Lytechinus pictus: one gene and its partner. The protein of the gene in region 1 purifies or fractionates together with the protein of each later gene. This does not show direct contact. Links are inferred from orthologs where the notes say so. Each region holds a gene or a part of one and is shown on either strand. Other genes may lie near its edges.

Region 1 (3,935 bases):
ATGTAAATAAACAATTATTTTTTATATAATGCACGTACATGAACTTCAACGAATGATAAATGTTATATTTAAAAAAGAACTAGAAATACATATTGTCCCTGTATTTAACACTGAATCACTGTGTTTATTATTTGACATTGCCCCCCACCCCATGTGATGGCCAATTTGATATCAGGGGCCCGTTGCATAATTCCCATGCAATGGTAACTTGCATGGAATCCTTGATTCTGATTGGCTGTTGATCAGTATTGCCATGGTAATTTCATGTACCATTGGATGTCAAAGTTATCGTAACTTTTATGCAACAGTGCCCATATTCGTAATTGCTCATGTCTTTGTTTACCTTATTAGGCTAAGATGTAAACAAAGACACACACATCATTTGTGACAAACTATTTCAAGGCAATTTCCTCAATCACACAGTTTTTGTAAAAAGAACTGCAATTAAATAAACCACAGCAGGATAATGGACAAAAACATAAATTTACTTAAAATCAACTGCTAAAATACCAAATTGATTACAAAAAATGAAAACTACAAGAAGAGGCCTCACAATACCTGATAATTGAATATTCTGTGCATTCACGAATGAATGAACCAGATAAATTACAAGCCAGCAAGACTGGCATTCTCATAGAAATGATACACATTCTTCGTAGCTCAGATCTAGGGTTCTTGTTCTTTGTTTTCACATTGCACAAAGTACACTCGCCACCTTGCATTGATTCCTATGAAAGTTCTCCTCATTTTGAAAAGCAATTAATAGCTAGCAGGCCTTCTTTCAGTATGATGGTATTAAATATATCTTCGGTTTCACATTTTTATAATATCTAGTATTTTTGTGAATGAGGGAATATGGAAGCACCCAAAGACTTTTTCCTTAAAGCTGCAGTATATATTTTGTATCATAATCAAACTAACTTACCTCATTGATGTGTTTATAAGTCTTGATTAGGTCAATGCTCAGCTTCCTAAGGGGGGCATGGGTCGCGTCCCTGAACGTGTGAGGGATACGACTCTGCATCGCTGCCATCTCCTCCGCCTGCTGCTGCAGGATGGGCTCACGATGTGCCGCGTTGGGGCCAATAGGGGTCTCCTATAAAAAAAACGGGCAAAGAACATGGAAATTAGTACGTGGGACTGTACAAAATCATATGATGATGGCGGTAGTTATGGGAAGGCCATTAGGGGTCTCCTAAAAACAGGCAAAGAACAAACATGGAAACAAGTATGTGGGACTGTACAACATGATGATGGTGGTAGTTTTGTGAAGGCCAATAGGGGTCTTCCAAACATAGGCAAAGAGCAGACATGGAAGTTAGTATGTGGGACAGTAAAAAATGATGATGGCGGTAGTTTTGTGAAGGCCAATAGGGGTCTCCTAAACACAGGCGAAGAGCAGACATGGAAATTAGTATGTGGGACAATAGTAAAAGATGGTAATAATGGTGATCATGTTTGGAAGATATAGATTTAAATAGTGAAGATGAAACGGAATGTGATATCAATGATTAGGATTTTAACAGTGATGATGGTTCAGTGGATGGTGATGATACTGAATTTGACGAGGAGGAGGATGATAATGTTGATGAGGATGATGACAGTGATGATGATGATGACAACAATGATCATAGCAATGATAACAGAGAAAATCATGGTAATACTAGTAGCAGTGGTGGTAGTGGTGGTAATGATAGAGTTCCCAGCTTTTCAAGAAAACAAAATTCCCTGATTTTTCCCTGATGCAGTTTAATAATTCCCTAATAATTATTAAAACCCATCCCCAGTTTCGCATGTTTTCTAAGTTGTTGCAGTGAATTACACTTATTATCGCCATAAAAAACAATAATGTAAAACTAATTAGTACCACCATAACCAGTAATTCAAAGGATGTTGTTTTGATATGCAACAAAATATAACAGTCTGACTGACTACCGTGCTTTCGACTTTTGGGCTGATCAAAATTCCCTGATTTTTCCCTCATTTGAGGTATTTTGTTTATCAAATTCCCTGATTTTTCGCGGACTGGAAAAAAGTAAAATAATTTTCCCCGATTTCCCTGATTGGCTGGGAACCCTGGATAGTAGTAGTAGTTGTGATGGTGGGAGTGTATTATTACAACATTGCTTGCCCTACATACCTGTGAGGCTGGATGATTAGCTGGCTGTCCGTTGAGTTGGTTGCTCGAGCAGTGCACCGACATTTCGCCGTTCATCTGCTCCGTCAAACAATATACATCATCACAACCATTCAGACTACGGCGCCCTGGAAAACACAAACAGAAAAAGAAAAGATGATCAACCATTAAGCCTTACAAATATATGAACCCAATAAAATGTTTTTATGTGAAGGGGAATGAAACCCTTGGAACAAGAGGGCTTGTGTGGAAAGAGAAAAATCACAGAATAAGATTTCATCAAGTTTGAGAAAAATTTGACAAATAATGAGAAAGTTATTAGCATTTAAATATATTGAGATCACTAATGGCAAGGAGATCCCTCCGTTGGCAATGCGACATACATTACAATAATGATCTAAAGTTCAAATGACCATAACTTTCTTATTATTCACTCAATTTTTCTCAAACTTTTGTTGATCTGTATTTTATTTTTCTGTTTTCACACAAGCTATCTTGTTCCAAAGGTTCCATTTTACTTTAAAGGTCAAGTCCACCACAGCAAAATGTTGAATTGAATAAATAGAGAAAAATTAAACAAGCATAACGCTGAAAATTTCATCAAAATCGGATGTAAAATAAGAAAGTTATGACACATTAAGATTTCGCTTATTTAAAAAAAAACAGTGATATGCACAAGTCAGTGACATGCAAATGACAGAGCCGATGATGTCCATCACTCACTATTTCTTTTGTTTTTTATTGTTTGAATTATACAATATTTCATTTTTAACAAATTTGACAATATGGACCCACTTGACTAAACCATGTAGTATTAAACAATGCTAATTCCATATGTTCAGGGAGGAATTATTGTTGTTTCACTTGACACTGAGGAGAAAAATGAAATATTTCATATTTCATATAATAAAATACAAAAGGAATAGTGAGTGGATGATGTCATCAGTCTTCTCATTTGCATACCGACCAGGATGTGCATATAACTGTTTTGTGAAATTAAGCGAAACTTTAAAATGTCATAACTTTTTTATTTTACATCCGATTTTGATGACATTTTCAGTGTTTTGTTTGTTGGATTTTTCTCTTTTTATTCAAATAAACTTTTTGTTGGGGTAGACTTATCCTTTAAGGATCCCGGTCAGTGCTTTAATAAAAAACATTCTAAAATTAATTAAATCAATATAGGTTTAATGGTACAAATTAAATAATCAATTACATACATATGTTCAAAACATGAAAAAAAAATCATCAATATTTCTGTTTGAGGTACATACATTCTTTGTTTTCTCTATTTTTTTTTAATTGATCCTTGGACCCTGTTTCACTCAACCTTTGTTATCAATTGTAAGTTTGATGAACATTAGACATGGTTCAATTTGATTGGTTGAGAAGAGACTTTAGTATCATAGATCACCTGCATTTGTTATTCGGGGTTCAATAAGCAAAAAAAAATCAAATAAATTCAATTTGGGTCTACATGTAAATGGTAGTAAATTCCATTAGTACGACACATACAATGCAATTGTGAATCATTGAAGATCAATAAATGAGGTTAATAAGCCTATTGTTTACATTACTGACATATTTAAATTTGAAAGAATACAGACAACTAGCATCTCAACCATTGAAATCATAAATGAGAATGTTTTTTCAATAAAAAAGTAGTCTCCTTTAATTGAATAACTGAAACAAAGATGCATGTTATCAACACTTTGAAATGTAAGAAATCAGATACATAAAAATAACATATTTTGTGTATTAAAGTTTACCAATAGATTGCATCTATTCAAAATAGAAC
Region 2 (3,935 bases), on another chromosome or scaffold:
ATGGTGAAATACATGTACATGTAATAATCCTTAAGGTCAGGATGTTTAGAGACGTTCAGCCTTACTTAAAGGGTACTCTGGGCTGGAATTATTTGTATCTAAATAAATAGAGTAAAATTCACAGAGCAAAATGCTGAAAATCTCATCAAAATCGGATAACTAATACCTAAGTTATTGAATTTTAAAGTTTAGCAATATATTGTGAAAAGAGTTAGATGCATGTAGTCATGAATATTCATTAGGTGGGCTGATGTCACATCCCCACTTTCCTTTTACTTATGTTTTGTTTCTCAACTGATATGTCTCCCTTCTAATGAAATAAGTTGCAGCATATCTAATAAATCAGTAATCCAATTTTGTTTAGTTCTTAGAGGGAAAAATTTGAATAAACCTAATTTCATATACATGTACATGTACATGTAAATACAAAAGAACAAGAGGGAATATGACATCATCAGTTTGCTCAATGAATATTCATGAAGAAATGCAGAGTTTCTAATAATGTTTCACAGTAATAATGCAAGTCTTTAAAATGCCATAACTTTGTTATTCCTTGTCCGATTTTGATCAAATTTTTAGTGTTGTTTGTCTGATTTTATCTGTTCAAATCATAATATATTCAACCTGGAGTGCCCCTTTAAGCGCTACAGGTATGTATACTACGGGGACTCAGTTTTATAATTATGAGGGGAGCAATAAAAAGCTCTCCTAAAAGTTTTAAGAGGAGCCGCGGTAGGGGATCATTGACCGACACTCTTGTTCTATCGTTCAGGTTAAATGATGTCAGAATAGAGATTATACATGGAAATAAACAAGCAATTAATACAAATGTCAATGTGTATGATATCGCCTGATTTCTAGTTTTTCTGCATTTATCATTTCATGTCATAAGAAAATCTAATTCACTGAGGCGAGCGATAAATCACTCCACCTCTATCTAAAATGGATTAAGGCGAGCAGTAGCGAGCTATCGCTCTCACTCCCCTTAAAACCGAGTCCCTGATACTATAAAGACAGAACTTTAAACACAGATACTACTGATTTGAGAGGGAATATTGCTTACATTATCAGGTATCCACATGATTTTAGTCGTCGGGTAGGGATGATCAAACGTACTCTTCGCTTCGAATTCCGAAGTCTCTTCATTTAGAGCTACGATTTGAACCTGTAAGGAGAGAATAAAGACATAATTTTAAACAATTATCTTTTTAATCCCATTAAGATCTAGGTTATCAAGGTAGTAATAGCATGCTAAGACAGTGTCGGTGTCTTCTAATGAATGAGTCAAAGTTCCCTATCAAATTTTAGCAATCCAACATGAAATAATAAAGAAAAAATGTTCTGAAAATAAACTACAAAAATTGTTCAGACCGACCCTAATTTTCATTGTTTTACCTATTTTTCTTGTCTTGTCTTTCCATTAATGCCCACAATCATTATGTTGATAATATTATGGCATATGAACGTCTAGTTTGACTTGACTTGAATTTTACCGCGACTGGCAGGTGCAATACCCCAGGTGAACACCCTACTCTTTGATGAATAGTGTATTGGTTTTAACGGGCATAGGTTGTGACTCTCCTATATACACGGGACCAACATTTGTTTGAGTGTTTTCCAACTGCATTCACACCTGCAATGAATACAGTGGTGAGGCACACTAACACACAACGCTATAGCATCAGATTATTTGTTAGACGTGTTTCGGCATGAGCGGGACTCGAAGTCGACCCCTCACGTTGAGATCTACGATCTTATCCGAAACATCCGCTCTAATCTAACCAACTGAGATACGCTGCCTCCCTTCATTCCTGGCAAATGGCACTGCACATTATTCATTAACATTACTCATTAATAAAAACATGACATGGGAAAGGAAAACAAAACTGACCGCCTGGTGACCAACCTCTGAGGCTCGTTACATTACAGAATACAGTTAGGCCTACTGTACAAACTGAAACTACAATTACAATTTACATTTAGGGGGCCTACAAGTACAAGCATATGATTAAGTAGATTCTACAAGTTTTCCAAATTCCAGCCATCCTGGCGGCTGACATTAACGTGTGCAAATTATGGTCACCCCAGCTGCCATTTGCCTGGCTTCAATAGGATCATTTTTATCAATATCATCAGTATCACATCACAATTCAAATTCACACACTGTCATCACGTTCACACTCATCATAGTTTGTGTGACTAGCTACACATCATCGCAGTGCAGTGTACAAAGCCTATGAGAAATCGTGAAGATTTTTACTTGCCTTATTATTGTATTCTTCGACGAAACTTCCCACCGCCAATCTGAACCGTTTGTCCGGTCTGACTCCCCAATTCATACTATATAATGTCCATGGGGCTTCATATTTGTAAATCTCCTTCCTTTTCGGCGTAACACCCGACATTCTGGCAGGCTTCATGAGAAAATATTCGGTAGTTTTTCGCTTGACTAGAATTCATGTATACACAACACTAGCGCCATTTACCTATCTTTTTTTTATCTGTCAATGTGTATAGCGCCATCTATATCTATGTTGAAAAATATTTATTGATTGCAACATGTAATTTCCAACGATATGGGGAAGGGGTGAGTGAAAACATTTTATGAAACAAATTTTAGTGATTTTTACTCACTTTGGTTAAGCAACTGCAAACCCCTGCATCTGATTGGTTCATATATAATCAGCCGGTGAAAATCACTGGCGATTTTTTTATATGAAACGCTCCCATCCAAGATCACAGGGCATAAGGCACAAGGCATTTGAAAGGGACGGGGAAGAGAATAAACACGAAATGCAATCTAAATGGGGAGTTGGGGACATCACCCTTTTTCCTCTCTCCATTAAAAAAGGGGAAATGAAGTCACTGAAATAAAGGGTTACAAAACCCACTTCTCTTTATTTGATTGACCTTCTTTTATATTTTCCCCTAATCTTTTCTTACATATTTTTTTAACTTTATATGTTTGTCATTTTGCCTCCGACGAAGATTCTGCTAGGATCGAAAGCTTAGGCCCCTTTTTGACTTTCTAATATTTTTTTTTAATGTAATGTTGTTATATAATCTATAAGAACATTTACATTTTCTAAGGTATATTATATAAAGACTATTTATTGATCTTATTCACTTAGTAAACAATGCACTATGATAACTATTTGAATTGCCTATAATTTCGATTTAAATAGTCTGAAAAGACTGAAAAGCTTTTACACAAAAATAAATATAAGAAAGAAAGGGGAAAGGGCAAGGGGAAAAAAGCGGAAATGATTAAGGGTTACAAAACCCACATTTCTTTATTTAATAGACCTTCTTTTATATTTTCCCCTAATCTTTCCTTACATATTTTTTTAATGTAAATGTTGTTATATAATCTATAAGAACATTTACATTTTTTAAAGATATATTATATTAAAACTATTTTATTGATCTTATTGACTAAACAATGCACTATGATAACCATATGAAATTCCTATACTATTCGATTTATATTAAAAAAGAGAGCGGGGTAGGGAGAGAGAGGGGGAAAGGGTGAGAAGGACTCGTCAGAAAATCGGAGAGAAAGAAAGGGGATACTGGAGAAGAAAAAGAAGAAAAGGAAAAGTAACGGCATGGGGAGGTTGAAATTTTTATTTTAACCTCTAGGGTAGCGCCAAATCAATGTTTAATCATAACTTTTTATGGTAGTAAGAAAGAAAAACCGAAGGGGGGGGAGAGAAAATAAAGAAAGAAGAAAAATAGTACAGAGAAGACGGGTGGTAACTGTGTTACATCCCATGACTAAATTGAGAAAAAAAACCGTTACCTTTATGTCGCCATTCTCTCCCCCCCCCCCCCCCTCCCCGAAAGTTACGGTCATTTCCGCCCCTATATTGCAATTGTGGGACGTCCTTTTTCAAGCCCTTGTGCTTATGACTGTCCGCTCCCATGGAATGACT

The links.
Region 2: the proteins of dual specificity tyrosine-phosphorylation-regulated kinase 1A-like (region 1) and DDB1- and CUL4-associated factor 7 purify together in Drosophila melanogaster (affinity purification with mass spectrometry; 3 studies listed by BioGRID, with this or other methods). This does not show direct contact. The link is inferred for Lytechinus pictus from reciprocal best matches to the Drosophila melanogaster genes mnb and wap.

What each region holds. Positions count from the first base shown.
Region 1 is NC_087252.1:26,486,035-26,489,969, forward strand, and holds the start of dual specificity tyrosine-phosphorylation-regulated kinase 1A-like, read right to left. Parts: upstream 2,263-3,935; 5' UTR 2,216-2,262; coding exon 2,141-2,215; intron 1,097-2,140; coding exon 926-1,096; intron 1-925. UniProt on the Drosophila melanogaster protein: Role in the specific control of proper proliferation of optic lobe neuronal progeny.
Region 2 is NC_087250.1:7,679,054-7,682,988, reverse strand, and holds the start of DDB1- and CUL4-associated factor 7, read right to left. Parts: upstream 2,505-3,935; 5' UTR 2,421-2,504; coding exon 2,265-2,420; intron 1,166-2,264; coding exon 1,064-1,165; intron 1-1,063.